Linked DNA regions of Drosophila melanogaster. The protein of the gene in region 2 interacts with the protein of the main gene of each other region in a pairwise test. Each region holds a gene or a part of one and is shown on either strand. Other genes may lie near its edges. The genes, in order: Cpr56F, CG17233, CG12655 and CenG1A.

Region 1 (6,240 bases), on a different chromosome or scaffold from region 2:
CAAATATTGCACCGCAGTTTCAATCGAGCCGTTCATTAAAATGGTGACAAAGGTATGATGTGGCTATTTAATAAACATTTTTACGTAAATCTTTTTGGCATTCCTAAAGTTGCTTCTACTGCTGCCATTTGTGGCCATTGTACAAGCTGAAGTGGATTTTACCGGTGGACGTATAGCACCTTATGCACCAACTGGTTGGCATCCGCAGATTCCATTCAACTTACCCAACGAGTATGTGCCTGCTATCCGATCAAGTCAGGGAGTAGAAATCACAAAGGCACGAGTGGACCAGTTCGATCCAGTGGAAAAGCCCCAGCCAAATTATTTGCCTCCAAATCAACTGGATATACCCGAGGAAGAGATTTTGCCCACCTCACGACCGTCCAACAAGTACGGTCCGGCAGATCCGAAATTTAAAATCATTTATCCTGATGATGAGGAGCCAGTTACTGCAAAAAATATCGTAGACAATCAGCAGCCCAAAATCAGAGAGGGACGTTACTTCGTCATTTCGCAGGACAATAAACTACAAAGAGTTTCTTTCAGCTCCCAGCAAAACGCAGATGCAGATGCAGATGATTTTACGGCTCAGTTGACTTACTCCACTGTGGGGCAACTCAAGGATCCTGTGTATCGATACAACAGACAGGGACAACTGGAGCGGGTCCTGAAGTAGGCAATTTGGATATAGCTATTTGAATATGTAAAATAGAGTTGTGCAATGTATTCAATTCTCAGAATGAATTATCTTGTTAATTATAAAAACAGTTTGGTTTTTCTTTTTGACTTTGTTTTATACAAAAATGCTTCTTTATTCATTTAATAATTATTAAATATACACAAAAATCTCATAAGTTCGTTTCACTTTCGAATTTCCATTTTCGTTTAAAAACTAAATACAATCCTTATGCATGTATGTATGAATGCGTAATGGTCATGTTGTGGGTGAATGGTGTGTTGGAGTGTGTGCGTAGACTAACACAAAATGAAGGCGCTTAAACAAAACAAAACGGCAAGGAGTTCCAGGTGTAGAGACGGAAAACAGGATAACGAACAGCAGTGAAACGGAAACGGAAAGGAACGCGCCTGTCTATGGCAAAATGGCGGGCGTCCCACTAAGGGTATGCACAGAGATGGGAATAGGGTTATATGGATAGACTGACTGCGATCGCTGGCCCACTGGCTGGATGTGCGTTTAATACTCGGCCAGCGATCCCATGAAGTAGACGAGTATAGTTGCGGGGTCGACCTAAATCGGGTATCCTCACTTCCCCATCTTAGTAGCCGTTGAATTTGCCCTGCTGCGCGTTGCTATCATAACCGCCACCGTTGCGACCATTGCCATTGCCGTTTCCGTTGCCATTGCCGACCTGCTCGTACCGAATGGTTGGGCGGTATCCATTCTGGTCGGCCTCGTACTCAACAATCTGTTTGCGTCCATCGGGCAGCAGGACGTAGTAGCGGCCCACAGCAAGATCACCATCGCGGGACTCCATGTGGCCGAAGTCATTGCCCGACTCGTAGTCCTGTACGTCGTACTTGAACTCGTACTTGGCCGGTCCATACTGCTCCTCATCCCGTTGTCCGTAGCCGTTGCCGTTGCCATTACCGCCGCCATAGCCGCCGTTTCCGTTTCCGTTTCCGCCCTTGAAGATGGCACCAGTCAGCGCTGGAGCACCATATTGACCCTGGGGAGGAGCGATGGGGGCGCCATAGCTGTTGCTGGGCGCTCCTCCATTGCCACCGGCCCGCTGGGGTGGCAAGTAGTTGCTCGACGGCGACTGGTAGCCCTGCGTGGGCGGCAGGTAGTTGTTGGACGGCGCCTGAGGCGACTGATTGGGGGGCAGGTACTGGTTCTGGGGAACTGGTGGTTCCGCATGGGTCCAGGCAGCCAGGCACACGAGCAGGGCAATGGATGTAAAAGCCTGGGAATGAAAATTCAGGGTTGCATTTACATTACAGTTTTCGTTTTGAGTTGACAACCCTTGATTGAACACTCCGTCCCTGACAGCTGTCATTCGAAATTAAATAAGTCCTATTGTTAAGCTCTCGTGATTTTGACTGATTAAATTAAAGCTTAAAAGAAGCAGCTATGACCGATTCGGACGAATCTTCCTGGATTCATTGGTTTTGCAAGCAGCGTGGCAACGAATTCTTTTGCGAGGTGGATGAGGAATATATCCAGGACAAGTTTAACCTTAACTTTCTTGATTCGAACGTTAAGAACTACAAATGTGCCTTGGAGGTGATCCTGGATCTTAATCCGGGTTCAGCTTCGGAAGACCCCGCTGAACCAGAACTGGAGGCTAGTGCAGAGAAACTGTATGGCTTGATCCATGCTCGCTTTATCCTAACCAACAGGGGCATCGAACTGATGTTGGACAAGTACAACAAGGGCGAATTCGGCACATGTCCACGTGCATTCTGCCATAGCCAGCCGGTGCTGCCCATTGGTTTGAGTGATAATCCTGGCGAGGATATGGTACGCATCTATTGCCCCAAGTGCAATGATGTGTACATTCCCAAGGCGTCGAGACATTCGAATCTGGATGGAGCCTTCTTTGGCACTGGATTCCCTCATATGTTCTTTATGGAGAAACCGGATGCTAGGCCCAAGCGGGCAAAGCAGAAGTTTGTGCCCAGGTTAGATCTTCCGTTTCCTGTGTTTCCTTCTATTTCCCTATGTTTTTAAGGTAGTTACTAATAATGTATAACTAATGTAACTATGTTTTCCCAGGCTTTATGGCTTTAAAATCCACCCCACGGCCTACCGTACTGCCGCTGAGATCCAAAAAGATGTGACAATGACGCCAGTAGGAGAAATCGATAGCCCATCCCACATTTGATCCTAAAGCTAAAATTTCTCATAAGCAACTGTCGCGTACTTCTCGAATAAGTGGGCACTGTTCGCCCGGCTGGCTGCCAGCTCATTAAACTCTCATAACAATAACTGCTCAGGCTGTGACCCGCTTGACAATCTTTTGTTTGGATTTGATGGCCTGCGAGCAGGCCCAGAATTGGCTTTGTCTTTCCCATCTTTACAGCATTTAGCTGAGGCATATGCAAATCTGTAGTAATTGGGTCCCAGGTGAAGCTCCCATCGGATTGGATTGGATTTAGCTGGGCTGCAAGTGAAGGGCTAATCTCGTGATCTTGCGCAATGCGTCTGAATCTTAAGTATTCGCCGTGTGGCGCGGACAACCTGTGGGAGAACCACTTCGGCTCACTCTTACACAACTTATTTCCGAATCTTGTGCAAAAGATCTTCTGGCCGAGTGTTTAGGCACAGGGCCGTCAATGACTTTCATGCTTCATTGGCGTTAAAATGCTATGCTTTTTGGCTGCGCTTTTGTCTGTATTTTTTTTTTATCGCCGCCTGGTCATCTCCAGACTGCCTTACTTGGGCATGTCCAGTAGTTCTTCTTCCGCCACTTAAAGTTTCTCTAATTTATTCATTGCAAAATGACCCCAAGCAGCGGCAGCTGTTGTTGCTTCTGTTTGTTACCCACACCCTAGAAATGAACTGGGATCGCTGGTTGCAATTGTTTCCCAGGCGAATGATATCGGTGTTCTAATTCCGCAACCTACCATAAAAAACAGTAGCTATCCTAAACAAATTGATGGTAATCTTAACTGCGATGATGATGGCAACTTATGAAATTTATTATGCGGATCTCCGCTTGATTAATCACCCAGCTGAACTTGACTTTTAATATGGCTCAAATATTAATATTTCATGTCTTTTCCTTCCGATTAGCTGATTAAGTGCTATGTGAGACAATGAAAGCTTCATTAGTTTGATGAGTTGTTTAATTGATTGATCGATCTATTGCCAAAAACGATTTTAAATGAGGGCTATTGATTGGATACAGAAAAATGAATACAAAATTCGAACATATTTTAGCACCTTTGCAATGCAGAAAAAGATATGGGCAAATATTGTGATGTTTATTTGATCATTCTAAGATTTTGTAACCCAACGTTGTTTGTATGTTAGCTACAGCAAACTTCAATATCCTTTGAAAATTTAACAAAAGGTCGAAACTGTATCTAATAAAGGACCTATATTGAATGATCTTTATAGCTATTCAAGTTTTATATCCTTTAGTCATATCGTTTCCCGAATGCCGAATGAGGCATTGTATTTCGTTTTGGCTGCCCATATCCTTTTGTGAGGACTTTTTTTTTTCACACAGCACACCACTTGGCACTTGACTCGAAAGTTCTATTCGGCTATATACCTTCATTTTGTGTTGTCACTTGTTTGGGATTTTGGCACACACGAAAACGGTTTTTGTTAACTTTGCTCTGTTGGCTGTGTTCTTCTTGCGAAGATGGTTGACTTGATTGTGATACTGAAACAATTTCGTAGGCCAGTATTTATATTTGAAATGAGCAGCAGCTAACGCGGCGGCGTCGACGTCGGCTTCAAAAAATTGCGCGCCAAAATGTGTGTGTTTTTTGTTCAGCTTAGTTCGTTATTTCAATTTTCGGTTAGTCGAGAAAAAAATGAGTGCCACAGTGCCGAACGAGCACTTGAAAAACATTACAAAATAATGCAAAGCACACGGAGCTGAGGAAGAGCAAATCGCTCTCGGTGGTGCTGCCGAGAAAAGAGGGAAATCGCTTGAGGTGGATTTGTTATAGTAAACTAGTTACTTTGGAAATTAAAGCGCCAAACATTTTGACGATGCTGACTTCGTATCTGCGGTCGGGTTCGGCAAATGAGCGAAGATGAGTGCCAAACATTCAAACAAATGAGACGAGGGAGTACCGCGCTCCTGCGGCTGCAGGCCATAAACATTTGTTGCCGCTCGTGTAATAGCAGAAACACTTATTTGTAATGGAATTAGTCATGCAGCAGGCAGCGGGCAGCGACGTCGACGGTAGCGTCCAAAAGCCAAGTGAGCGGAGGCAGCTGCTCCACGCATCTTCATCTCGCATCGGAGGCTTCAGCTTCAGTCGTGCGGCAGCTTCAGCGGCGGCCGCCTCGAAAGGCGAAGCAGAAACAAAAGACTCAGGCAACGAACTTGCTGCAGGCAATGCTGCTGCAAATTGTTTCCCCTTAGTGCGTGGGAGTTTTCGCTGGGTTTTGCTCGGTTTTGTTTTTCAGCACAACTAATGAGCTGGATTATGCCCCCGACTTCACAAATGTGTCCGTTTGGATTGGCGTTGACATGGATTCAAGTCGGATAAGCTGCAATTGAGCTGTGAGCACAGCGAGGGAAAAAGAGTTTTAAGATACGTTATCTTCCTTGCTGGGAAAGATACGCTCTGGTGTCGAAAATGTTGATTGTTATTAAACTGAGCATTAGTAACGGCTTGTAGTTGCTTTGCGAATCAAAATTACCTAAAGATCTCTTCAACATTCATTTATGGGTGAAACATTGCTCCAATTTAAATGAGATCAATTTATTTATATATTTACTTTATAAACAAATAATTTGTAGAGAGAAATAAGTTTTAAAATAAACACATATTTAAAAAAAATAACATAATTTTTTTTTCTATTTGTCCATTTCCTGCAAAACGTATTGAAATGTGTATGCTCAATAGTTTTGGATACTTATTTATCCCATTAAAAAGTCGATTGCATAACAAAGGAAACTTGAACTCTTTAAAAATACTCGAACACAATACTTGACAATAGGGAAAAGTAATTCAATATTTTTATTGCCATATTCCATGTTCATTTAAACAGTGGGCGTAGCATCCATCACGATCTGCAAATATTTCTTTGGTCAATTGTCTTTTGGCTCATTGGTCGAATGCGTAGCAAATTAAAATTTTTATCATTTTGTTATAACGGACCCTGCTTATTTTGCGATTTGGCACGAGCTGACTTTCACATTCGATAATGCCAAGTTTATGAGTTGTAAATTTAAAGGCCGTGCGAAGCCACGCCCCAAATGAGCTGGAAATTAATGAGGTATTGAAGGGATTGAAGGGATGGGGTGGGATGGAATTGCTTCCTCGCTGCGTATTCCCCCAAGTGATTTTCTGCAAGTAATACTCGACCTTGCCACAGACCACAATAAAAATAAATTAGAGAATATACAGCCAAGCTTTTGTAATTACCAAGATCATTTGGAGTTATGTGTGCAAATATGCGAATGCGAAAAATTCAAATAAACAAACAGAAATTATAGCAGAGCAGTTAAGACTTGACTTCATAATGGCTAATATGAATCTTGAAATGTAAGCAAAACAATTAAATAAATAAACCTTCGTATGCCGCAT
Region 2 (5,483 bases):
TTATATTCGGGAAACTGGATACTTCTAGTATTTGAAAGCAAGAAAATCTAATTAGTACTTCTATAAATGTAGGTTTCAAATTCTTAATTAAAATAAATATTGGAAATTTTGCGTCCAAATGAGATTTTTTATGTAAGCTACCAATAGTCTGTTAAGGTACGTTTTGTTAATTCAAATTTATTTTTAGCCAATCAGAAAGAAAAAGCGCACAGTGGAACTAAATAAGAGATCTTCCAAACTAGTCCATTTAAGTTGGCAAAATCTTGGAAGAAATAGTGTGAAAAGCAAATAAAACGAAATAAAGGCAGAACACAAACAAATTAATAAACAAATAGAAACGGAAATAAAAAAAATTAAATACAAACCTTTGGCACTACTTGAATCTGTGACGCTAAGTTGCCCGCCGACGGCGACATGATCATGTTGGCCACCACGTGCTGGCGCCGACCGGAGGACTGGGATTGGTTTTGATTGTGCTCCTGCAGCTGCAGTTGCTCCCCATCGACCACGCTCGCGGGATAGAAGGTTTGCTTGATCTCCAGCCCGGGCGGTAGGTTGAAAACTAGATTTTCGCCACCACCACCGGCGTCCACTGAGGATGCCTCACTGGCAAAATCGAGCTGCCGATGTTCCTGTTTCACCTGCAGCTGCAGCACGTTCTTAATGTCCTCCTGCCCCGCTCCATTGTCCTCCAGCTTCGTCCAGCAGAGGTTCTGCTGCTGCTGCTGTTGCTGCAGGGTGCTTTGTATCACAGATGAGTAGGCCACCGTGGTGGGTGTGGCAGCAGCAGACGATCCAGCGCCCGCTTCTTGCCGCCTTTGCACAGGGGATGCCGTCTTGTAGACGATCACCTGGGCCTGCGGTGTGCTGACCACGTCCACCGCATGTAAATTCGTGATGGGCGATCCATCTGCGGAGCTTAGCGCCGGACTGGCATATTGCACCGGATAGGATCCCGCCGGAACTGGCACTGCCAGCGGCACCGGACTGGCATCCTGTTGGTCTACTATCGTTGCCCGATACGGCTGGCCATCCTTCCGCGTCACCTTGACCTTCCGGCCATCAATGGTGTAATAGGTGTCCGGTTCTGTGTCTGCCTCGGCGATCTCCTGTTGCAGTTGCTGGTGGAGCTGCTGCTGTTGCTGCTGCGCCGCTGTCTGTTGTTGCTGCTGCTGCTGTTGCAGTTGGATCAGGTAAATCGAGTCGTTGTAGGCTTTTAATTGCTTTTCCTGCTTAATCTGCTACAGCGCACCGTACATAGATTGAATCGGAATCGGAAAGTGTTTGGTTTGGGATTGATTCGACATAGAGAGGCTAGACTTAGTCTATGCTTTGATGGGTTTATTGGAAGGGATGTTATGTTAGTATGCGATAAATGCGATAGAGCCTGCGGGGTTTTAATAAGTGTGTGTGCTTCCCCAGAAGCTGGCGTAAACCATAATAGAAGAGTGATCTGAAAGCCGAACGTAAAACAAACGAATTCTACTCACCACTTTGTCGGCCACCAGGTTTAGCTGTTGCTGTTGCGCCTGCTGCTGTTGCTGTTGGGCCTGTTGTTGCTGCTGTTGTGCCTGCTGCTGTTGCTGCTGTGCCTGCTGCTGTTGCATGGCCAGGAAGGTGTTCGATATCATGTTCGGCGTGTTCCAGGTCAGCGACGTCGACGTCAGGGCCACCGTTGTGGGCGATGGTGAGGCTCCACTCGACGAGGAGTTCTCCCCGTAATAGTTCGAGGCAACATTGTTGACTACAGCAGCCGCTGCCGCCGACACGGCCGCCTGGTTCTGGAACGAACTGAGCTGCTTGTCCAGCGAACTGGGCAGCTGCAGCTGGCGGTGCGGCGTGCTCACCGCTGACGAGGCATAGTGGGCGGGCTTAGGCTGGACACTGGCCGCCGCCGCATGGTGGTAGATCTGCTGGAATACTGGGTTGTAGCTGCCAATCGGTGACGGAGGCACAAAGCTGCCACCACTGGCGGCCGCCGCATTAAAGCTGGCGATGCTTGCTGCCGTAATGGTGGCCAGGTGTGGATGCTGGAAGTCCTCTGCTGTTCCGCCGGAGCTTCCGGCACTGGCGGGCACGATGCGGTTGTAGGCGTATGACCAGGGACTGGAATTGGGATCCATGTTTGGCTTGGGCTCTTCTACTGCTGATGGCTGGTAACTGAAACAAATAGCAAAACTTTAGTGGTTTTTGAATATAATTAGCGGCTTATATGTAAAGGATTAACTAATTGGAGTTTATTATTGCTCGGATACATTTCCAATGGTCATGTGTTAAGTCTAAAAATCCCGCCCATATTTATCAATTTAGCGGTAGCTTAGATTATAACATATTTATATTGTTATCACAAGTTGCTTGCCATGGCATTCATAATATAGAGGGGAAAAAGGCGCGAATTCAATTAATGTTATTTATGGATCAATAATAATTACTATAAAATTATTGATATTTATATGTGGTCAAACATATTTTGTTTATCTTTTATTGTAAATCAATAAACACATAGTAGAAGTACACTTTAGAATGAAACACTCCAGTTTTGGGGTGTTTGTTCCCCAACTTTTCTGCACTGAAGGGATCCCCCTATTTTTTTCGTATCTTCATTTTTTTTGTATCCCTTTTGGCCACGATGCGCTTGGTTCCCCCTTCAAAAAAATTGGCGTCTGTATTTTTTGCCTTGGCGCTCGGCGGCAAGGAGACCGCATTTTTGAAGTTTCAGCGTCAATGGGTTAATGTGGGTGCTCACTTATGACATTACAATGACGGGGCCATCACATTGGCTGGGATTTATGCTGTTTTTGGCAATGTTTTTCTGCCTGGGAATAGGATTTTTTCCCGTATTTTCCGCTTGTACATATATGTATCCATGCACACAATCACACACACACACACACATACTCACACACACGGGCGTACATGCGTGCGTGTTGGAAGATAGTCACTAACTTTTAGTCGTTATAGAATCGGAACTGTCGGTCTGCTCGGGCCCAGCATTATCTTCACATCGGATCGGCCAGCACAACAACGCTTCAATATGCACGAGCGGATTTTATGTTTAACTAACAGCGAACGTTCTTTTTTTTAGATTCGGTGCATAACTTTTTTGTGGATGAAACAATCTCCAAAATGGCCGCTCTGCTGCCAGTGAAAAACGAACCACTGGCTCAGGTGAATGATGCCACGGTGAACTTGTTCATCGGTTCACTAGTTCGCGCGCCGAGTGTTTATTGTTTGTTTTGCCGTCGTCCTCGCATTTCGTCTTTGTTAATTTCCTCAAAAAGTATACTGCGTCTTGTGTTCTTCGTGGCATAGGTTAGTCAAAAACATAATTAAGTCATGTTGTGTGAACAATTCACCGTGAAATTTGACCAGCAATTATATTCCCATGTGCTATGCAATAGCAACAAGTGTTGTATAATACGCTTTTTATCGGGTCTACAGTCATTACTAGTTAACTTTGTTGTGTATTTACATTTTACGAGCATTTATTAAGGCACATTTGATAAGATATAAACAAATTAATCGTAACTCCTCTGAAGGTTGTGTTTACTGAACTCGCGCGTTTCCTAACACTGATCAATTGGAACTAGTTGATTTCAAAAACCATGAGAACTTTACAAAATCTGAAAACAAAAAAAAAAATAAAATAATTCCAAACTTAAATATTATATTAAATCTAGGTTTTATTAACTATATGTACGGTTCTAAATTATATATGAACGAATCAAGCCACCACCATTACACATTTTGCAACACTAATTGACCAGAAACCCAGTGGAAAATTGACGCTGCTGATATAATTTAAAAGTTTAGTTAAGGAAAAATTAAATGTTCTTACTTTGGTTTTTTCAACATACATTATCATAAACTTGTAGCTTAATAATACAAAATGTAGCTAAATCTTTAACTCGTTATCCGTGATGTTAAGGAATGTTGAATTCGGCTTTGACAAGTAAAATAGTTAACAATGGTTTCTGTTCCTTAAATATTACTAATTTGTATACATTTAAAAGATTTGGCATAATAACTGGTGTAAAAAAATATTTATTTTTTAATATAAAAATCATAACATTAAATTTAAAACCATCGCGTTGCGATATATGTTGCATTATCCAGCACTGTTCGGCTGGAACCAGTTCGATAGCCCGCTGTTTTATGGTTGGTTCACGTACTAATGACAGTCATTTTACGTATTCATTGCTAAAAGAAAACTGAAAAAATACATTTGACCAAGTTTCCGGTTAGTCATCCGCCCACACCGATCTTCAATTAGTCCTAACCGAATCAAAGGAGAGGTGCGTAGTGCCCAATTGTCAATGAATCGGGGGGAATCCGCCAGCAGCTGGCTGCTCCTCTGCGTACGTGTAAATCTGGGTGAGACGCCCACTAAATAGCAATCACAACATTTCCAGAGAGCACATAGCCATGGACTTCGGAGACGATTTCGCTGCCAAGGAGGACGTGGATCCGGCGGCCGAGTTCCTGGCGCGCGAACAGTCAGCTCTCGGGGACTTGGAGGCGGAGATTACGGGTGGATCTGCATCAGCTCCTCCGGCTGCATCCACAGACGAGGGCTTGGGTGAGCTTCTGGGAGGCACCGCCTCCGAAGGCGATCTGCTCTCTGCTGGCGGCACGGGTGGCCTCGAATCCTCCACTGGCAGTTTTGAGGTCATTGGTGGCGAGTCCAATGAACCCGTGGGCATATCCGGTCCGCCGCCGTCGCGGGAAGAGCCCGAAAAGATACGCAAATGGCGCGAAGAGCAAAAGCAACGACTGGAGGAGAAGGACATCGAGGAGGAGCGAAAAAAGGAGGAACTCCGACAGCAGTCCAAGAAGGAGCTGGACGACTGGTTGCGCCAGATTGGCGAGTCCATATCGAAGACCAAACTGGCGTCGCGGAATGCCGAGAAACAAGCCGCCACCCTGGAGAATGGCACCATCGAGCCGGGCACCGAATGGGAGCGCATAGCCAAGCTCTGCGACTTCAATCCCAAGGTGAACAAGGCGGGAAAGGACGTCTCCCGCATGCGATCCATCTACCTGCACCTCAAGCAGAATCCCATCCAGGTGCAGAAGAGCACCTAGGTAGTTTTAATTACGCACTCGCCTAACCACATTGAGTTGAATATGAAAATTATTATTGAAAGTATTCGCTGTATATTCCAATTTATGATACATAAAATATTATTATTGCTGCTATAACATAGCCGCGATCATCGTTTTGTCTAATGAATGCAATAAAGAATGTGCACACAGTTGTCATGCTTTCCTTGACTATCATATACCCCATCACACAAAATAAGAAAAACGACATGAAAAAGTTAGGAAAAAGAACAAATAAAAAATAAAACCAAGGATATGACAACTAAAGTGTTTTTTCGTTCATTTTGTTAATCAAGCAGGGTTGCACATCAAGGGGCTTTAATTACTTCCAGTTTTGTTGTAAATAATATTTATTGCTCTATAAAACGCATTATACAAAC
Region 3 (3,621 bases), on a different chromosome or scaffold from region 2:
CAACGAGTTGCCAGACAATCACAGTGCCCTTCAACAAGCTATCGGTTTAACCCACGTAATCGAGTATCCAAAGCTAACGATTCTCGTAATTCTCAATTAATCAGCTAAATTTGAATACCAGTTACTCGTAGAGTAGAAGGTTATACTAGATTCGTTAAAAAAGCATTGTAACAGGCAGAATGAAGCGTTTCGAACTATATAAAGTATATATATTCTTGATCAAGATCAATAGCCAAGTCGATCTAGCCATGTCCGTCTGTCCGTATCTGTCCGTATCCGTAGATCTCAGGTACTATAAAAGCTAGAAGATTGAGATTCAGCATACAGCTTCTAGAAACAATGAATCCTGTGCGAGCAATGGCTATGAATAATGAACGTCAATGAACATGTCAGTCGAATGACAAAGTCACTATTCAATTTCACTATCTTCGGCAAAGCAGTAAAAATACAAGCATAAGGTATTGAATAGTCCATTAGCATAACCCTATCGGCCGACCTAAATTGCTTTACGTCACAACTGAGAAAGCAAACAATTCGCACATGCCCACCAATTGTATTGTGAGGCTTTTCGTTTTCTACATACATGTATGTACATATGTATATGTATGTTTGTATGTATTTTCCGTCGAACGGTAGCCACAACGTACCTGCATTGTTTGCCCGCCTCCGAACGCCACTCACCTGAAAAGTGCGAAACGGACGGACAACAATACACACATATATAAATATATATATATATATATATATTTGTTTATTTATATGCATATACAACATGCATATGTTAATATTTAGAAAAATATGTATGCAAAATATACTTGGTCATAAAAGATCAACGAAGGTTCGAATACAATTCGGGCGATCATCAAAGCACTGTGACTCGGCATTCCCCATTCGCCAGAAGATCTATGTACATATATGTATGTATGTATGTATCTCGACTTCTGGGGCAAACCAACATGGGAGCACACCTTAACCCAAAATGACCCCGGCCCGTGTCGTGCATATCATTAATGACCCAACCAATTATCGTGTTCTATACAGCAAAAAAAAAAAAAAAAATAACATCTCGACACTCGAACATGAAAGCACTTGAAGTTGCGTGTTCTCGTTTGGGAAAATAAAGTACGACCGCGGTTTTATGTTCTTTGATCGAAAAGAAAATAATCTCATCTGCATGTGGAACAAATAAACGATGAATGGATATGAACAATAAGAAGAATTAATACCACTAGTATAGCTAAATTTTATTTTGAGGATTCCTTAATAAAGCAGACGCAAATTAATTGAGAAAAGTGCGTCGACTAAAAGATACCCATTACCTGCAGCTAACCGAAACTATTTTGTTAATCTCAAGTCACAAGTCATATCTAATTACAGAGTGAGATAAATACAGGTTGTAAACTTGTAACAGAGAAAATTTTTGTGCAATTCGACTATATGATACCTAGTGGTAATATTTTACCCAAAAAGATTTAAGATGTTTAATCTGTTGTTTCGATTTTCGATTTCAGTGCTAAATAAAGTGCCTATTTTGATCATACCCCACCGAAACTACAGCTCCATTCAAATTGAGTAAATAAACACCAAATAATATGACTCAGGGCAGCAGAAAATCGCTATTGTTACTCATAACATGAGAGCCGAGCTTGGGAATCGAGTTTAAAACCGTCAATGGCACTTTGGAAGCGGTTTAGTTGAAGTCAAACGCGCATTCGGAAAACATGTCGAATTTCAATCGCATTCTGATCGTCATTGTTATCGGATTGGCACTAGTTCATTTTAGTGCTGGTGAGTGAAACGCTAACAGAACATATGAAAAATCGCACAAAAAATACGATAAATAAACATACGTATAAACCTCAGCGGCTTTTCCATGGAAAATAACACATCGCATTCGCACACACGATACCATTTCGACGGTGCCAAGTAAACAAATTCAATTTCAACTTCTAATGGAGAATTAAGCACTGCGATATTATCAGCAAATTATTGATCTCTTCTATTTGAAACCAAATATGAAAGCAAAATTTTTAAACTATTTGATTTAAAATGTGTAATAGTATTAGGTCTCATTTTGATAACGACCATGTAGCATGTTTGGTCCACGAGAAGTGGCGGGTACATTGTGGTCAAGGAAAGTTACCTTTTACATGCGTTACTAATTCAAGCACATTTCATTTGAATCCAGTGGATGCCCAGGCCGGAACGGTGCACTGGAACAATGGAAATGCGGCCGGCGTTGGCGTCTATTCGAGCGCCCAGTCCGGCGGGATGCATCCGCCGGGAAGTCTGAGTGGCCAGGATCCGCAGTTCAGCTACGGATACGCCGGCATCGATTCGCGTGGTACCTACGGTGGAGCGGGTGGCAATGGAGCCTACTACGTGAGCGGTACGGACGAGCACGGTCGTCCCTTCTCCTACAACAACCAGGTGGGCCATCCCGGCCAGCCGGGCTACATGGGCGTACGGCCGGACCCCAACTACCCGGGTACCTATGGCTACCAGAATGGCGGAGCAATCATCGGCAGCTCGGTGGGCGTCACCGTGACCATAGCACTTGGATTGGCCTTGGGCGGCATGAGATTTTGATGCGGTTGCAGTGTGGGATCGTTTTTTTTTTTTGTGAATTAGTCTCTAAGCTTAATTTATGTAAACTTTTCAGTTGTGTAAATTCTTTACTAAATTTACTAAAACATAGAATGCTTTTTACTGGAAGGTGGGTTGTTGTCAGAATGAATTAGTTGATTTGATTTTGGTAAGCCCAGAAGGCTTAGAGAACTACATTGAACATTACTAAACAAAAATTTATTCATAATAGTGAAAGTTTAAATTATTTTGTAAACGAAGCAAATTTGATATTCAAATGTCGCAAAAAAAATCGAATATTAGCCACCTGGTGATCCAGTGCATCGACGCCATGGGTGGCTTTGCCTCCAAGGAGGTGATCCTAAAAGCGGTGAGCACAGCTACAGACAAGAAGTTCTGGAAAATGGGAAGGCGAATTGATGACGCCCTTGATACGCTAATCGTTGATGGTGTGATCCGCACACATAACGACAACTATTATTTAAACATGCTAGAGGAAACAGCAAGTGCCAGTCACTGTAACAGTGGCAGTGGTAAGTAATCTTCGCATCAATGGTATGATTGGTGTGAAACAGTTAAAAGGCAGGTCATATCAAATTTTGTAATCAACATTTACATATTATTTACAGATTCAGATTCAGATTGAGTTTGGATTAAGAAGGTAAGATATATTAGAAAGGCATTTCGTCCATATAGTAAGACTCTTCTTTCTTTCCCAGAATTAGCTGATAAGCTCGAAAAATTCGGATGTATTCAAATTGTTGTACAATTATTTGCCATTTTTAAGAAGCTAAAATTATAAGTGGCAGGCCTCACTAAATTCAAACTTTCCAAGTGAAGCGATGTAAATTCATTTCGTTGTTTTGTTAGGAATACAATTACAAGGAATTTTTTATTCAACGTTTATATGAATGTACAATACATAAATAAATACGATTCGTTTGCACGTAAGATCGTGAAATTGTTAAATTATTGCTTCGAACGCAGCTGCTCAGTTCGAGTGACTAACGATAAACAAGTTGAATTAGCAAATCG
Region 4 (5,092 bases), on a different chromosome or scaffold from region 2:
CAACAGAAAAATTCGTTTGGGGCTAATTGCAATCGCTTTAATGGGCAGTCGCAAGCCATTTGAGATAAGAGAGGAAATTTGTTTTTCACTACCGCCAGCGGCATTTCAACTGACTGCCGTTGTTGTTGTTGTTTTTAGGGCCGACTATTACTTGGCTATTTACAAACAAACCAAACAGACAACACGCCTTTGTGTTTGCATAAACACCGCGAACAATCGAACAAGAATTCCAGGTAGGTTATTTATGTTCAGCCAAACGAACACCCCCCTTAATGGAATTATCAATTTGTAGTAAAAATTGCCATTGATATGCTGATATCGTGTAATCGATTTAATTTACTAGAAGCTCAATGCACAGCCTTTCTATTGTTTATGGATCCCCATTTATAGCTTCATATGCTAATTTTAGACGGCACATGTAGCCACACACACACAATAGTACGCAGTTTACAGAAATATTTAAGCAGCCATTGTTGCTGAATTTTGTCTAAAATATCAAGGCCTTGGCCTAATTGGATTACAAATCTCGCTGAGGAAGCATCAAATTCTATAAGATACATAAATAAAAATCTCATTCGTAAATAATCAGCAACACATTATTTTTCTTGAGTGCCTTTTAAATATGTAACTAAACTTTGATTCGCTAAAAGTTCAATGACATCTTAGCAGTTAAATGTGGTTTAAGACTCGAACTGATTTCGGTGAGTCAGCAGCTTACAATATTAAGGGGGCACTTTAAACGCAAGAGCTCTTAACCAAAAAAAAAAAAAAAACGGGCATTAAGTTCTGAGATTATATCGATTCTTTAGATTATTGTCCATAAACGTTTTTATTTGTTAAGTAGTAAGCTATGTATAGTAAGCTGCTGTATGATTATTTATGCTATATAGCTTCTAAATCGATTTCAAATGAAAAGGTTAACGAACAGATAGCACAGAATTTCTTTTATTTATTTTCGTTAGATACTTTTGACCTTCTCGATTTATTGGAGACCGTTACCGAAACCTATAAATAAGCATTTGGAACGGGAAAACGGCAACCAGAGTCCAACGAAAGCATCGTTCATCACGCTGACAGCGAATTAGAATCGGTATTCGATATAGTTATATATGTATATATTTGTACATATTGGACCAATGTGCCCGTGTTGCGGGTCAATGCCAATAAGAAAGTCGCGTGCGAAACGGTTTACGAGATCGTACGCTCTCGTATTCTCGGGTTTCGTACATATCTGGTTTGCACGACACAGAGTGGAGTATTCGAGTATTCATGAGGTTGCTGCCGCTGCCGCTGCCTCTGACAATTTTGTTTACATTTTTGGTGAGCCTTTCGTTGTTGCTGCCTCTGCCAGAGATTTTCTAATAAACCATTTCAGGAACCGGTTTTCGGTTTGATTTCGTGAACGGTTTTCAGTTTTCAGTATTCAGTTTTGCTGCCTGCCACAAAGAGGAAGAGGGCATCAAATTTCAGTCCCCGCATACAAACACACACACACACACACACACATGCTGAAAATTGGGCAGAAAAGCTTGTTTTAAACAAAAAACGAAGCTCTTTCTTTTCCATGAACAGAGCGACAACACTTTCAATGGGCCCGCTGCGATCCGCTTGAATGGGCATTTTGGCAACAATAATCCTCGCCATCAACCGGGGGTTGATGTTGCCTCATAGATTTTCGGTCTAAGATTAGCATAAAGCACTCCAAACAAAGGCAACCACAAGTCCAGACGCTCGCGATAAGGGGCACAATGAAGGTGTGGATACAATTGCAGCGATAAACATGTTTAATCAAAGGATTCGCATCTCTTCCCGCCGACTTGACACACTCAATGGGACGACCAGTCAGTCCATCGAAAGTCACGATAGACTCCACTTTCCGACTTTGAAACCCTTTTCTTTACTGTGTCTTTGCATAATTTATAGCACATTTAGTTGCTCATCATTTCTGGGGCACACCTCCGAATGCTCCATTAAAACCAGTGACCCTTGAGCAAAAGTTTCGAATTCACAAGCAGAGCATTTCCTTGTTATGGTGCATAAATTTGCAAGCCATTAAAAAACAAACGAAATATATAATAAGAGTACTGTTATATTTGGAATCTAGCACTTACACATTTTACGTTTAAAAGCCTATTTTCTAGCAAAACATTTGTGCAGCTGCTTTCAAGCACTTAAGCGTTGAAATATATTCATTAAAATACTTTCAGGTTAAGTCGGGTTTGGTCGTACATCTTATAAACATTATATGCTATACTAATCACATTTATTTATTTATTACAAAGAGTGTAACGACCCAAATTGGATAGACTTAGTATTAACAGGTGGAAATGAGAATCTATAACTCGAAACCTAAGCTAAACATCATAAACTTTTCAGCAATATCTAATTGGACAATTAGGCCACTTGATCTCCTTATTGCCATTTAATAGGAAGTTAAGCCTGCAATATTTACAGTATAAACAGGTGGACAAACATAAACTTTGATTGCAAAACTAATTACAGAAACCGCTTTACCATTCAATGGCTAAACTCTAGTGTAACTAATTATAATCATTAAACTAGGTGCACTAATAGAGGGGGACTTACCTTCAATGCAGACCACATGGTCCCGAATGGACTGGGCTATCTGGGCATCGGCCATGGGCAGCAGATCGATCAGTTCGTATATGGCATAGATGGATGGGTGGACGCTCTCGAATCGCTGGATCTCCTGCCGGATGGCCAGCGAGTTGCTGATGAGCGGCTGGGGAGGATGGGCCACCAGGATAGATGCTGATGCCGATGCCGATGCTGATGATGATGGCGCTCCGGAGGCGGAGGCTGCTGCAGTGGGCGCGGCATGGTTATGGCGTTGCGGGGGCGGCAACTGGTTCTGGTGGGGATTCTGCAGCTGATTATGGACCTGCTGCGGATGCGGATGCGAGAGCGCGTGCGGATGCGAATGCGGATGGTAGTTACTCATGGCGGGGGCGGTGGAATCGAGAGTTAGCTAAGTTTTTAATTAACTTAATTTACTGGCACATACACTCGTCACGCACACACGGCACACACACAGGCACGAACACTACAAAATTGCGATGGCACAGTTTTCCCAAACGAACAACATTTTCCAATAACAACAATCGGGGCAATAAATGCGCTAACTCGACCGATTTTGGAGTCGCAGTTTTCAGTTCACTAGATCGATTTTGCACCTGCACAAACAATCAAAACACTTTTGTTTACGCTATTACAGTACACAATCAAATGGCATTTTTCTAACAGTTATATTTGATACACTTTATATTTAGTTATTTTGCACTTTTCTCCGTTTTTCCCGATGCGTGCGCTTTATTTGACAGCGAAAAGGCGAAAATTTACTACGAAACCAACAGAAAAGTGCGAGAATTTACGTCGAGCGCAGCCGAGTATGTAAAAGTATGTAGTTGGTGCGAGGCGTTCCACAACAAACTGTGGATGAAGAGCAGGTACAGTGGTCACTCTACAGAGCGAACTTCCACCAACTCAAGTGGGTGATTAATTTTTAACTAACAAGATTTTGTACTATTAATTTACAAGTAATGGTTAGATAGTGTACAGTGATTTCATTACACCAGACACACATGTAATCACGGGATTAATTCGGAATATTACACTTATGGAGTAAGCACTGTACTATGAAGTGCACGAGAAATACCAAAAACGCCAACCAGAAAAATCACCGTAATAGACATAAATACTATATTTGTTTGGACTGGTATCGATAGTAACATAATGTAGTTAATTTATTTCAATTAAGTGCCATATATATGAATAGATTTTAAGTCAATATCTTTGTAACTACAATTCAACCAATTTAAAAAAATAAATATTTCACTTGCCGTCTAAATGCCAATTGGAGCGCTCTAGGCTCTTATAAGCCATAAGTCCGTTAAGCTCACAGCGGCAACTCTGATGGTATCGATAGGCACCGGCTGCTTACCGATAAGTTCATGCACTGCATGTCGTAATCGTAATTTGTTAAAAAACACATTTAATTAATTAAAACTTTACCAAAATGGCACAAAGTAGGCTTGAAAAGATTGGCACAATCTTCACCAGGTATTTACCCTCCTACGAAATATCTGTGCAAGCTTTAAACACCCGACTCTTGCAGAGTTCAGGGCCTCCTACGCGGTGGAGCTATGAAAACCGAGGATAAACCCATTTGGTACGATGTGTACGCCGCCTTTCCGCCGAAACTGGAGCCCCGATTCGACAGACCCGCGCCTGAGATTCCAGTGCGCCAGATATTTTATGCCGAGGATGTTGTCCGAGCGTATGTTTTTCACCTGCAGTCGGGCTTATACCAATACTGAACTAATCTTGTACACCAACAGAAAGCTGCATAAAGAAAACAAACCCCAGGAAACGATATCCCTGTTTGACCACAGGCGCAGCACGCAGTCACAGCAATTTGTCCAAATATACCAGGACCTGAAAGGACAAGGAGCCCTGGATGAGCAAAGGATCTACGAGACCGCACTGGATCTTTTGGCGGAGCAGCGCCAGCAGGCCCGCCTGGAGACTACCCCAGAGGAATGCCTGCCAGAGCAGGATTCGGAATCCAAGTCCCAGCTGCTGAGCGACTTCAAGGAGGCTGTGGTGAGCCAGCAAATCACGTCGTCACCAGCACCACCTGCTCCCAAGGGAAAAAAGGAAGCGAACGTGGGCATTAACATAGACAGCTTGTTCAAGGATTAGGCGGAACATCTTTTATAAACTTAAAATAAACTTGTTATATGTAAATCAAACGGCCAATGCATCGTTTTGGGACTCGTGGCTGAGTTGCGTCTGCAGGTTTGACAGCTTGTTCTTCAGCACCTGCACACCCATGACCACAATGTTCTCAGGCTTAAGGGCACCGGCGGATTCGACGTTGAAGAAGAACTTGTTTGGCTTGGCTTCCCAGTTGTAGGGCGCCTCGTACTGGTCGTCCTCCAGTTCGGTGTGCTCGCTCTTTGGCCACTCATCAGGTTTGGGATACAGAGTGTGTCGCATGGAGTTGTCCGGATCATACTCGAAGCACACGCCTGCGGTAGGATTCCACTTGGCGTGCTCCTTGCCAAATCCC

Evidence for each region.
Region 1: the proteins of CG17233 (region 2) and Cpr56F interact in a two-hybrid assay, tested with the Drosophila melanogaster proteins (one large-scale study listed by BioGRID).
Region 3: the proteins of CG17233 (region 2) and CG12655 interact in a two-hybrid assay, tested with the Drosophila melanogaster proteins (one large-scale study listed by BioGRID).
Region 4: the proteins of CG17233 (region 2) and CenG1A interact in a two-hybrid assay, tested with the Drosophila melanogaster proteins (one large-scale study listed by BioGRID).

The regions. Positions count from the first base shown.
Region 1 is NT_033778.4:20,287,587-20,293,826, forward strand, and holds Cpr56F (cuticular protein 56F), read right to left. Parts: upstream 4,360-6,240; 5' UTR 4,248-4,359; coding exon 4,242-4,247; intron 2,965-4,241; exon of another isoform or gene 2,847-2,964; coding exon of another isoform or gene 2,738-2,846; intron 2,644-2,737; coding exon of another isoform or gene 2,093-2,643; exon of another isoform or gene 1,959-2,092; intron 1,926-1,958; coding exon 1,278-1,925; 3' UTR 785-1,277; downstream 1-784. Other genes in the region: CG34199 (uncharacterized protein), read left to right, coding at 41-52, 110-676; CkIIbeta2 (casein kinase II beta2 subunit), read left to right, coding at 2,093-2,643, 2,738-2,846.
Region 2 is NT_037436.4:20,238,373-20,243,855, forward strand, and holds the start of CG17233 (uncharacterized protein), read right to left. Parts: upstream 3,147-5,483; 5' UTR 2,903-3,146; exon of another isoform or gene 2,747-2,902; intron 2,735-2,746; exon of another isoform or gene 2,681-2,734; intron 2,161-2,680; 5' UTR 2,124-2,160; coding exon 1,491-2,123; intron 1,242-1,490; coding exon 366-1,241; intron 1-365. Other genes in the region: Clc (clathrin light chain), read left to right, coding at 4,426-5,085.
Region 3 is NC_004354.4:19,957,468-19,961,088, reverse strand, and holds CG12655 (uncharacterized protein), read left to right. Parts: upstream 1-1,685; 5' UTR 1,686-1,721; coding exon 1,722-1,788; intron 1,789-2,188; coding exon 2,189-2,589; 3' UTR 2,590-2,696; downstream 2,697-3,621. Other genes in the region: CG43784 (uncharacterized protein), read left to right, coding at 2,864-3,119, 3,216-3,232.
Region 4 is NT_033779.5:13,833,927-13,839,018, reverse strand, and holds the start of CenG1A (centaurin gamma 1A), read right to left. Parts: upstream 3,456-5,092; 5' UTR 2,963-3,455; coding exon 2,587-2,962; intron 1-2,586. Other genes in the region: mRpS23 (mitochondrial ribosomal protein S23), read left to right, coding at 4,037-4,080, 4,136-4,297, 4,359-4,722; Polr2C (RNA polymerase II subunit C), read right to left, coding at 4,768-5,092.